3 linked regions of the Nothobranchius furzeri genome follow. The protein of the gene in region 1 interacts with the protein of each later gene in a pairwise test. Links are inferred from orthologs where the notes say so. Each region holds a gene or a part of one and is shown in the gene's direction. Other genes may lie near its edges. The genes, in order: get3, gpx7 and get4.

Region 1 (3,647 bases):
GGAGTGGAGTAATACTCTGGTAGGGGGGGTGACTTGCTCTTTAAAAGTCGCTCCTGCCAGGTTCTTACTCCACTCCCACTTCCTGTTTGAAAAATGCCACAAATGCTGTTGCCCAGCAGACCGAGAAGGCGCTTGCGCGCACACACGCGCTCACGGCATTGTGACATCATAATGTACCAGCTAACATCATAGGGTACCTCTTAGCCAATAGCGATGGCAGATTTGAATTCAAATACAGTGCAGTTTTAACCTGACGACAACACAACACTGACAGTTTTAGGCAGAAAATTAAAATTTTAACTAAAATGCACTAAAGCGCCAAATAATTTCCAAAGGAAACCCAGCCTGAGGACACGTTGCCCAGTATTGTGGGTTTACAACAGAAATTAGCTCATTGAAAGAAAATTACACAGAGAGCTGACGCAAACATTTTTGCAGTGCTGGAAAACCGTTGAGTACAAACTGGGTTGCTGACATAAGGAGTTTTTTTTTTGAGTGTTTAATTTTGATGTTTTCCATAGCTGTAGCTTAGCGGTGCAGCTGGCTGCTGTCAGGGAGAGCGTCCTGATCATCTCCACCGATCCCGCCCACAACATCTCCGATGCCTTTGACCAGAAGTTCTCTAAGGTGCCTACTAAAGTCAAAGGATATGACAACCTCTTTGCTATGGTAAGCAATGCAATGCCTAAAAATCCCTTAACATGTTTAAAAGAACAAAAATATTTTTACACACTCAAACAAGAAGAGCAAGGAGGCCAAATAAAGAGGTTTATTTATCTTGTGTCAGTGTTAAGAGATCTGTGAGTCTCCCAAGAACTGTTTGATAAAGCAGCGATAGAAATGCTGAATCGCTGGAGGGTGGGAACAAATCGTCAGACGGTTTGTGTGTTTTGCTCACCTGTTTCCTGTCGTGCCTTATTGCAGGAGATTGACCCGAGCCTGGGTGTCGCAGAGCTGCCTGATGAGTTCTTTGAGGAGGACAACATGCTCAGCATGGGCAAGAAGATGATGCAGGAGGCCATGAGTGCTTTCCCCGGTATCGATGAAGCCATGAGCTATGCAGAGGTCATGAGGTGAAAACACTCAGTCATATCGAGCAGTTTTTTCAAGTGTTTAGAATCAGTGTTGACGTGATTTCTTTATCCTGCCTGTGCATCAGGTTAGTAAAGGGAATGAACTTTTCTGTGGTGGTGTTCGACACGGCCCCCACCGGCCACACGCTGAGGCTGCTCAACTTCCCCACCATCGTGGAGCGAGGTCTGGGTCGCCTGATGAAGATAAAGAATCAGATCAGCCCCTTCATCTCTCAGGTGATGGGACCAGCAGTTTGAATAGCTGTGTTTAGATGATGTGTACAGCTGTGTTTAGATGATGTGTACAACGTTTAAACGGAGTTGTCTGTGTGTTGTGTTGTTTAGATGTGTAACATGCTCGGTCTGGGCGACATGAACGCAGACCAGCTGGCCTCCAAGCTCGAGGAAACCCTCCCGGTCATTCGCTCCGTCAGTGAGCAGTTCAAAGATCCTGTAAGAGTTTTAAAAAATCGTGTATTTAAAGCAACACTAAACAGTTTCCTGCTCCTCCACCCTACTGGTTGAAAGTGGTTTTGCAGCTGTCGTAAACAACCCTGCTGTAGCTAGCGCTAACAACGAGCTAACACTTGCATGAGCCAACTAATACTAAAATAAAACACAAAGTAACTATTGGGAAAAAAATATTATTACTTACAAATCCAATAGCAACAGAGCATCAGAAGCAGGGACCTGAAATGGCTCAACAGCTTAATAACAAAGGCTGGTTCTGTTCTGGGGACGACTGTGGAACCACTGGAGGAGATAATGCAAAGAAGGATTCTCCAGAGAATCAAGAAAATTATGGACAACCCTGAGCATTCCATGTTTATCTTTATGTATTTAGCAGACGCTTTTGTCCTAAGCGACTTACAAGTGATAATCGGCATGTTGCCCTTGAGGTTAACAACAGCAACAACAACAAACAATTTCCAGTCAGTCGTAGGTGGCAGTGAGGCAGCATGATGAATCATGGAGAAGAGTGAACAAAGAGTGGACAGTAGAGAGGGGGGTGCAGGGTGCAGGGAGGGTGCTAGTTTAGAAGATGCTCTCTGAAGAGCAGGGTCTTCAGGAGTTTCTTGAAAATTGAAAAGGAAGCCGCTGTTCTGGTAGTGCTTGGTAGGTCGTTCCACATTTGTGGAACGATGCATGAGAAGAGTCTGGATTGTCCTGAACGTGGTGTAGGCACTGCTAGCCGACGATCCTGTGATGACCGGAGGGCCGAGCCAAGACGTAAGCCTTTGCAAGAGGATTCAGGTAGATGGGAGCCGTACCATCTCGGACTTTGTATGCTAATGTTAGCAATTTGAATTTTATGCGTGCTGCTAGCGGTAGCCAGTGGAGCTCAATGAACAGAGGGGTGACGTTTGCTCTTTTTGGCTGATTGAAGACCACACTGAGTTCTGGACCATTTGAAGAGGTCTCGCAGTACAGCCTGGAAGACCAGTTAGAAGGGCATTGCAGTAATCGAGGCGGGAGATGACAGTAGATTGCACCAGGAGCTGGGTGGCATGTTGTGTTAGGTGTGGTCTGATCTTTCGTATGTTATACAGCTCAAAGCGGCATGAACGAGCAACAGAGGTAACATGATCTTTAAAGGTCAGGTGTTCATCGATCACAACACCCAGATTTCGAACTGCCTTTGAAGGAGCCAGATATAGGAAGTCATTTTGGATTGAGATATTGTGCTGTATGGATGGTTTTGCTGGGATGACAATTAATTCAGTTTTAGAGAGGTTGAGTTGGAGATGGTGGGATTTCATCCATTTTGATATGTCAGAGAGACAGTTTGATATTCGTGCAGGGACAGTGTGGTCTTCCGGTGGAAATGACAGATAGAGCTGGGTGTCGTCTGCATAGCAGTGGAAGGAGAAGCCATGTGATTGAATTATCTCACCCAGTGAGGTGGTGTATATGGCAAAGAGAAGAGGTCCTAGTACAGAGCCCTGGGGGACTCCCGTGGCAAGATGGTGCACGGTAGAGGATTGTCCAAGCCAAGATACACTGAATGATTGTCCTGTGATGTATGATTCAAACCAGGCGTGTGCTTTCTCTGTGATGCCCATGCTAGAGAGTGTGGACAAAAGGAAGCCATGGTTGACAGTGTCAAATGCAGCCGATAAGTCGAGCAGGATAAGCACTGAGGATTTGGCAGTCGCTCTAGCTTCTTTTAAGGATTCCGTCACTGCTAACAGAGCAGTTTCAGTGGAGTGGCCCTTTTTGAACCCAGATTGGTAAGGGTCAAGCAGACAGTTTTGAGAGAGGTATTCTGTGATCTGATTGAAAGCCACCCTTTCAATGATTTTGGACAGAATTAGGGAGGAAAAGAGGGTTGGTCGGTAGTTCTCCACATGATTTGGAGGAAGAGATGTTTTGTTTTTTTAGCAGCGGTTTAACCTGAGCATGCTTGAGAGAGGTGGGAAATGTACCGGATGTCAGTGATGCGTTGATCACATGTGTGACTAATGCGGCTACTGTAGGAGCAATAGCTTGGAGCAGCTTAGTCGGAATGGGGTCGAGTGGGCATGCAGTAGGACGGCTGCACAAGACTGTCCGACAACGGAAGAGTGTCTTCAG
Region 2 (4,438 bases), on another chromosome or scaffold:
AGAGCTAACCAGAAGCCTGAGCCCGGTCGTAAACAAACTGACAACCAAATACTACATAACACCGACTCATTAAAACAAAGACACGCGACGTTTACAGCAGAGCCGAACTCAGGACTTACTTGTGCACTCAGGATTAATGTTTGGTTGCTTCCATAGTTCCGCTTTACATGTTATCTTAGATCCCACGGCCCTGGCCAAAACAGCAGCCCCGCTGCATTGTGGGAGTGTCCGTGACGTAGGCAGGAGGAGTTTTTGATGCATGACCATAACAAGTCAGAAACTTTACGTTGTTTTTGTCAGCTGCAGAAATCCAAAAGGGTTCAAATGAAGGCCACTGGACTTCTGGTTTCTTGAAGACGTTTCACATCTCATCCTGTAGTGGTGGCTCCTTTGTTTGTCAACTCACTTCATATTTTCCTGCTTTAAAAGCCACTGCTGCGCTGTGGCAACGTTTCGTTCGCTCAATGTCCAAACTTGAAAGCTGCGTTTTCTTCAAGGTTTATTTTCCAGGTCGGCAAGCAATAAAACACAGATCCTGTTTTCCATTGTTTCCTGCTGCTTCTCCTGCTCTGGTAAAAACACACACGCCCACCCCAGTGCATGCTGGTGATATAGCCGAGAACAGCCAGCCTGCCGAGAATTGCATCCCCTGCCGCGGGAGCGCGCATTGTTGTAAACTCGCTGATAATGATGAGGAAACAGCTTCAAATATCAGCAACGCGACGGCTATAAGATACACTCGTACTATTACCATGTTACTTATGCATGTGCATCCTGAAAACTTAATATGTTGTCACAGTTGAATGTATACACACATATACATATATATGTATATACATATGTATGTATGTATGTATATGTATATATACACACACATACATATACATATATAAATGTGTGTGTATATATATATATGTATGTATATATATATGTGTGTGTGTGTGTGTATACACATATGCATTTATATACATGTATATGTGTGTGTATATATATATATATATATATATATATATATATATATATATATATACACACATAATAAATATAAATATATATATTAGTGTGTGTGTGTGTGTGTGTGTGTGTGTGTGTGTGTGGACCGGCCAGACTGAGCTCCCAGCTGCAGAGTTTTGTGTGTAGGAAGGGGCGGGCGCTCTATGTGACTGGCCAGTCACAGAGCGTGAAGACAGTCAGTTACCCAATGAGGATTTTCCTTCAGCACGATTACAGATATTTACGAGTTTTACTCGTTTCATGCTCGTATTCGTCAAAAATGCTTTATCCGTATCGGGTACTCGTCTGAAACAAGTATCCGGCTCATCCCTAACGGTTAGCTTATCAATCCTCTGCATTGATGAAAAGGCTCGGACCACAGAATTTACTACCAGGCAGATCCAGAGGTGCTAGCTACAAGAATAAAAAGGCAGAAGTATTTGACTCATTCATCAAAAGTCTGAACGTGCAAAATAATCCTCACCAAGTCATGCTACACACAAGCAGAAGTAACAATCAATGATCATGGCATGCTTTTATTTAACCGTGCGCTCGGTTCCCCTTTGAAAGCTTTTACTTTGTAAGCCCCGGCCGCAGCCGGAAGTGCCGCTCCAGCTGCGCCACTTGACCTCCTGGGCGACTCCTGTTGAGTTGGCGCTTTTTGCTGCGGAAGATGCTTCACGCGCTCCTCTCGGTGTTGCTGACAGTCGTCAGCCTCACAGAAAGCAAACAGAAAGACTTTTATAGTTTTAAAGTGGTGAACAGCAGAGGCAAGCTCGTGTCTCTGGAGAAGTACCGAGGTTCGGTGAGTCCGGCTCAGAAGCGCTCATCCTGGATGTTGCATGATGAGAACGTATCTCCCACTAACCATGCTGTCTGCAGATGTAACTAACTGTGTGTGTGCGTGCGTGTGCGTGTGCGTGTGCGTGTGTGTGTGTGTGTGTGTGTGTGTGTGTGTGTGTGTGTGTGTGTGTGTGTGTGTGTGTGTGTGTGTGTGTGTGTGACGCGAGCCTCCTGGGGGGACCCGGCGCCCCGGCCGCAGCCTACGTGGCAGCAGGCCTGCAGCTGCTGCACGCGCTCCGTTACCAGGTAGCGACCGGTACTCGCACCGCTGATGGATCACGTTTCAGATTCAGGTTTCAATCTGAACGCAAAAAGTCAGGAGAAGAAAAACAAACTTCTTGATCAACATATGAGGCACCATGTGTACAGCGAAATCCCATTTTTCTGCCAGCAGATATAAAAATAAATACTAAAGGTAAAGCTGAATATTAGTTATCCACATTTAGACACAATATCTTAAAATACACTATTTTATTTGGTCAACAGTGTAAATATTTAGAGTAACATCCGGCCACAAAATCAGAATACTGTGACAAAGTTGATTTATTTCAGTAATTCCATTCAAAAGCTGAAACTTGTATATTTCAAATGTATAACGAACAGCTACTGAAAATCCCAAAGACCCTGGTTATTCGTTCAGTCAGTGTCCCTCACGTAGGGCTTTATTTCAAGACCATAAATAAACAATGTAACTGTGCTGCCCTTTGTTTGTCGAACTAAAGCATGCGGTGGTGTTAGCATGGACTGGGAGCTTCGTATGTCCGACCTCAATAGAAATGCAAAAAATTCCAACTGTTTTTTTGCTTACTTGAAAAATGATCTTGATGAATTAAAGTTTTAATTGTTTTTTGGAGCTGATATTACAGCAGGACTTTACAGGTTCTGCTTTTATTGACCGTTTGCACCTACCTGGTATGTCACCTGATCACATGGGTCCGCGTCCGCGGTATGGCAACAGTGAATCACAGGGTTATTGAACAGAGGGTGAAAGTAGAGAACGGAGGAGGTCCTGCCTCAAGGGAAAGAGTTTATCTCGGGGTCTTGTTCACGAGTGAGATGGGTATGCGGATTGGTGCTGCGTCTACAGTGAGTCCAGCGGAGGTTGTATCGATCTGTCGTGGTGAAGAGAGTGCTGTTTGTGACGGAAGGCGAAGCTCTCCATTTACCAGTTGATCTAAGTTCCTACCCTCGCTTATGGACACGAGCTTTCGGTAGTGACCAAAAGAACAAGGTTGCAGATACAAGCAGCCAAAATGAGTTTTCTCCAGAGGGTGGCTGGGGTCTCCCTTAGAGATAGGGTGAGAATCTCGTTTATCTGGGAGGGGCTTGGAGTAGACCCGCTGCTCCTTCACGTCAAGAGGAACCAGTGAAGGTGGCTCGGGCATGTGGTCAGGGTGCCTCCTAGATACCACCCTGGTGAGGTTTTCTGGGTATGTCCAACTGGAAGTAGACCTAAAAGAAGACCCAGGACACGCTGGAGGGACTATGTCTCTCGGATGGCCTGGGAACGCCCTGGGATTCCCCCGGAGGAGCTGGCCCAAGTGGCTGGGGAGAGGGAAGTCTGGTCCTCGCTGCTTAGGCTGTTGCCCCCGCGACCCGGCACTGGATAAGTGGCCGAGAATGGATGGATGGATTTATAACATTGTTATAAACAGTGTTTCACTTAACACCAGAACTGATTATAAAGTCTGAACCACTACCAGTTTTTGCCACTGACAGGGTCACCGGGACCAGCTGGCGAAGCTCTTCATGCTAAATGCATGTTGTACACACACGTAATCCTACATGTAAGCAGTATTATTACTATCTTGCATTTGACATAAGAAGCCTAAGTTTGCCCCCTACAGTCGGATCACAGGCTATGATAACGAGGCTATGAAAGTTATTTTCTGGTCCGCGTTGCTTTATGCCCTGAATCCCACATATGTTGTACTTCAATTTAAATAAATAATCATTTTGTGTGTTTCGACTATGTCATGAGATTGTTTTAGTTTGTAAAAATGAGTAAATAAAACGACTACAAATCAGAAGTCGTGACCACAGAATCTCTATTGCCTCCGTGTAGCCGCTACTTATCGCGTGGTTAGATTTATCGGGGTTTTCGTAACGTTTAACACTCCTGGAGGAATTCGAAGCTCGCTTAACTCACAGCCATTTCTCTTTCTACCGGTTTTCTTGTCTTCTCCGTGTCCGATTTGATGGCCTCTATTTGGTGAGATGAACATTTGCAGTCCGAAACCTAAAACCTAAAATAACCGTTGCCCCCTGTTGAAAAGAATTGCTTTCTTGGCATCAAAATGTGATTTAAAAATAAAATGGCGCATATCACACGGGATCAGAAAATAACTTTTCTCTCCTCTGAGACTCGCGTTTATAGTTTAGACAGTTGGTAACCCGTGGTCCAGAAGTAGATGGGTATGACTCTGGCTGCCTACAGTGGACAGAAATACACGTCGTCCATTGTGGAATACAGGATTATCAATACTAAATGAGTAGTACACACACGTCACATTTATCCTCTCAGCTCCATCACAGTCGCGTCCCATCTCACACGAATGTTAATCCTTGCCTGCCAGACTCCTCCTCTGTTTAATTCTTTTCC
Region 3 (4,211 bases), on another chromosome or scaffold:
CCGGAAGAGCTGGTCCAAGTAGCTGGGGAGAGGGAAGTCTGGGCGTCTCGGCTTAGGCTGTTGCCCCCGCGACCCGACTCCGGATAAGCAGCTGAAAATGGATGGATGGATGCTTCACTTTTAAACCAGTCAAGTGATTTCCCCCTGATGTCATGCTGGTTTAATCATGGTTAATTATGTCAAACCTTCATGATGACAGCTGTTTTTTCTCTGCTGTTTCTTCTGGACAGAGTGTGGCAACTCTCAATATTCCCAAAGTCCAACTCAGTTCCCTTGGTCTGTAAAAAAAATCAGCCATCTGTTGCTTTATGGAGCTGACATCCAGGTCATGGGACTCTTCCCCGTTCACGGCGTATGATCTGAGTTTGATGCTGAATCCGGTGATAATGAGATCATTGACCTTGGTGTCAACCAGGAAAGCAGTCTTCTAATCCTTCTCCTAGTTCTGGATACCTCCTCTACCTACATGCACCAAGATGCCTTTCTGCTGCATTCGGACAAAAGAAACCTCTTCCGAGAGGAAATCAAGCAACGTATCTCGTATCAATCAAACCAAATCCAAGCTTTATTTATAAAGCGCCTTTCGTGACCCTGTCGCGAAGCCCAAGGTGCTGAACACGGTACATGAGAAAAACAGGTAAAAACATTAAAGTAGAAAACAAATGGGTAAAACAAGAGATAAAGAGACCAATGAAAGCAGGGAATTAAAATTAACATAAATGAAGGCCTAACTCAAACATATTCAGGGAACGCGAAGCGGAGGAGGTGGGTTTTTAGGCGACTCTTAAAGGCTGGCAGAGATGGGGATAGCCTGACTGAGGGTGGCAACTGGCTCCAGAGTGACGGGGCTATGACTGAGAAAGCCCGGTCCCCACGAGTACGACACCTAGAACGAGGGACAGCGAGCAGGCCTTGGTCAGAGGAGCGCAGTGTGCGTGATGGGGAATGTCTGTTCAGGAGCGTGGCCAGATAGGGGGGAGCACTACCCTGGAAGAAATTGTAAACAAAGACGAGGAGTTTAAAGTGTGAACGATAACAGACCGGAAGCCAGTGCAGGAAGGGCAAAACCGGATTGATGTGGTCCCGTTTCCTGGTCCCAGTCAGTAACCTGGCTGCGCTGTTCTGCACAACCTGTAGGCGGCGCAGTGATGATTGACCCAGTTCATCCAGGTGTGCTGTTTTGTGAAGAGTCAGTCCAATTTAAAAAAAAAGTAATACGAAGAACAAACATTTTTTTTAATATAGTGCCTCTCAGTTTAGTGCCTCTCTACAAGAACAAGGCTAAGTCGTCAGAGTCATCGATGTTATAGTTGCTCCGTATGCCCCGTCCCCGCCCCTTGCTACGAGCCGCAGCCAGGACCTTCTCGCTAGTCGCTGCTGCTGCTAAAGGCATCGCTATGGCGGAGCCCGAGTCCCTGAGGTGCTCCAGTGCTAGAAACCGAGGAGGCGTTCAGAGGGTCGAAGGGAAGCTTCGAGCAAGCGTAGAAAAGGGAGATTACTATGAAGCCCACCAAATGTATAGAACTTTATTTTTCAGGTGAGACTTCACAATATGTTCGTTCTAATGTGCTTTTGTAGTTACGGTCAGGCCGGCCTGTTCCAGATCATTCCGCTGTCAAACCTTTGACTGGTGCTTGTACGTGATTGGTTGTATTCGCTCTGTGTCCCGCCTTCCCTTGATGGTTCTTGTGTTTGATTGGACAGTGATCCTTTCTATCTTTAGAAGAACAATTGCTATTGGCTTACCGTAATGATACCGCTAGTACCGAGCTGATGATAGCAAATTTTTTGTTAGCAGAGTGAGTAAAATGTGACAACGATAACTTATTTTTGGCTGTATTAATCATGAAATGTATACTGAAAACAAACTGAAAATAGCGACCAACTGTTTTCGTTGGTTTACAATGCAGTTATGTGAACGAGTACATTCATGTTCATTTGCGTTAGCATTTCGCTAGGTGGGAAGCAGCCTTCTGCTATCTCCTCGCAGTAAAATACGAAATAACGACGTGTTTCTAAACAGTTTGTTTTATTTTGAGCTATACCAGACTGATTTGATGCATTTCACTTCTATATCATATTCCATAAACTATGTCATATCCCACCCTACTATGGTAGAATACTAGTTTTGTGGTCTGACTTAACTGCTTACTCCCTCTTGAAAAACGTACTAAGCTGTCGAGAAAGCTCCCAGTTTAAAGCCAATTTCCCTCAAATGTATGTTCTTTCAGTTAATTCCGTCCGTTTCTTGATTGTCACAATCCTATCGTTTACTTTATCAGATGTATATGGTCATTTGGCCTTAGGGAGATTTAGGAGATTGTCTTTAAGTGCACGACTCCGTTCCCCTTTGCCTTCCATCAGGTATATGTCACAAGGAAAACATGCAGAGGCGAGGGAGCTGATGTACAACGGTGCTTTGCTGTTCTTCAGCTACAACCAGGTACAGACCACACCCACGTTTTTGACTAGAACATCCGCAGATTTCATGTTTAAAATTGCATTTCATTAGAAATTAGCATGTACACAACAGCTGTCAGGTTTACAGTTTTGATCTTTGCCTGCTGAATTAACCATAACTTTAACTGTACAGCCTGACTTGTGGCTTGGGTTAAGTTTACCGATTACAGTACGTTCTGTGACAATAATGCTGCCCCAAACATGAGTTCATTGTGGTTTACTTTACAGCAAAACAGCGCAGCAGATCTTTCCATGCTGGTGTTGGAGGTTTTGGAGAAGTCTGATACTAAAGTTGAGGATGAAATGTTAGGTGGGTTTCGAGCTTTCATTGTGTCTAAAAATAACTCTTACTGAGTCTTTTGTGTTGATTTTGATCTGCTTTCTTTTCATTATGTGACAATAGAGCTGTACAATTTATCACATTTTTATTTGAACTTCGATTTAAGAAATCACTAAAATAATGAAACCAACAACAAAAAGGTTAAATTGTTTTGCCAAGACAAGCTTGGTCTTGTATCGTTATGTGATCCAATTAACATACACCTGCCTCCTCTGAAAACTCACCCATACTTCACACTGGAAGCATCAGTGGCACGGACTGTCGCTGCTTCAAATGAGAAGACATTAAAATCTATGGGGGGGTTTCAAACCAGCCACTATGCGGAAATTTTCAAGCGCGTCCCAGAAGCAGCTGGCCATGCCACTAAAGATAGGATGGGTTCTATTTTTGCAGCAAGCCGCATCTGGGACACAACAATTTACACAGTTAGCATAGGGCTAGACAGGAAGTCGCACACGGTTTCAATGTAAAACCCCTGGTAATTCTCAAAATAAGACTACTGCAGCAATGCGATTTCATATCTATGTAGATTACATCAAAAGAAGTTACCTAATGGTTTGTTTACTCCCTGCATTGTTCCAGAAGTGCAATAGTGTGTTTTTTATGGCTTTAATCCTGCAAGTGGAGAGGAACAGCCTCATATGGCAGCAGCAGCTCAGGAGGTAGAGCGACTTGTCTGGTAATCAGACAGTTGCAGGTTCGATCCTGGCTCTGGACAGAGAATTCTGCTGTTGTGTCCTTGGGCTAGACACTTAACTCACCTTGCCTGCTGGTGGGATTCAGAGAGACCGGTGGTACCTGTGCTCATCAGCCTGACGCCTCTGTCAGCAGTGTTTCCATAGTTACCTTGAAATAGTAATCTGATTTCTGACTACTGATTACTCCTTCCAAAAGTAACGTAGTTACTTTACTGATTCATTCATTTAAAAAGTAACTGCCGTATTTTCCGCACCATAAGGCTCACCTGATTATACGGCGCACAGCCAATCAGCGTCCTAGTTAAAGGTTTGGTCCGCACATTAGGCTCACTGGATCAAAACACGCACCCAGCAAAGCAAACAAGCGTCCCGGTCGGCACAATTAAGGCAAATTGGGCAATTAGATCAAAGTCAAACGTTACTCCACTCATTATCTATACTAAAAAATAAATTTCTCATTATTAAAGTAACATAAATGGCCCAGTTTAATGCACGGGTGCTTTTAGCAGCAAGAATGAAGATTTAAACTCTGGTAACGGCATGACTGACTGACTGACTGACCTGCAGCAGCTGGTCTTCCAACTTTCTCCACTTGCAGACCATCGACTCGTTAATCTTGTATTCTCTCGCTGCTGCTCTGTTTCCATGCTCAACGGCGTGAGCGATGGCTTTGAGCTTGAACTCTGCCTCGTAAGTGTGTCTCTTCGCTGGTG

Evidence for each region.
Region 2: the proteins of get3 (region 1) and gpx7 interact in binary tests that used the Homo sapiens proteins (3 or more experiments, as listed by UniProt). The two-hybrid records come from large-scale screens. The link is inferred for Nothobranchius furzeri from reciprocal best matches to the Homo sapiens genes GET3 and GPX7.
Region 3: the proteins of get3 (region 1) and get4 interact in binary tests that used the Homo sapiens proteins (3 or more experiments, as listed by UniProt). The link is inferred for Nothobranchius furzeri from reciprocal best matches to the Homo sapiens genes GET3 and GET4.

What each region holds. Positions count from the first base shown.
Region 1 is NC_091746.1:25,384,770-25,388,416, reverse strand, and holds part of get3 (ATPase GET3), read left to right. Parts: intron 1-521; coding exon 522-669; intron 670-924; coding exon 925-1,073; intron 1,074-1,159; coding exon 1,160-1,310; intron 1,311-1,418; coding exon 1,419-1,526; intron 1,527-3,647.
Region 2 is NC_091748.1:78,670,859-78,675,296, forward strand, and holds the start of gpx7 (glutathione peroxidase 7), read left to right. Parts: upstream 1-1,598; 5' UTR 1,599-1,666; coding exon 1,667-1,798; intron 1,799-4,438. UniProt on the Homo sapiens protein: It protects esophageal epithelia from hydrogen peroxide-induced oxidative stress. It suppresses acidic bile acid-induced reactive oxygen species (ROS) and protects against oxidative DNA damage and double-strand breaks.
Region 3 is NC_091756.1:28,102,730-28,106,940, forward strand, and holds the start of get4 (Golgi to ER traffic protein 4 homolog), read left to right. Parts: upstream 1-1,287; 5' UTR 1,288-1,319; coding exon 1,320-1,537; intron 1,538-1,549; exon of another isoform or gene 1,550-1,773; coding exon of another isoform or gene 1,774-1,799; intron 1,800-2,364; coding exon 2,365-2,443; intron 2,444-2,688; coding exon 2,689-2,770; intron 2,771-4,211. UniProt on the Homo sapiens protein: As part of a cytosolic protein quality control complex, the BAG6/BAT3 complex, maintains misfolded and hydrophobic patches-containing proteins in a soluble state and participates in their proper delivery to the endoplasmic reticulum or alternatively can promote their sorting to the proteasome where they undergo degradation.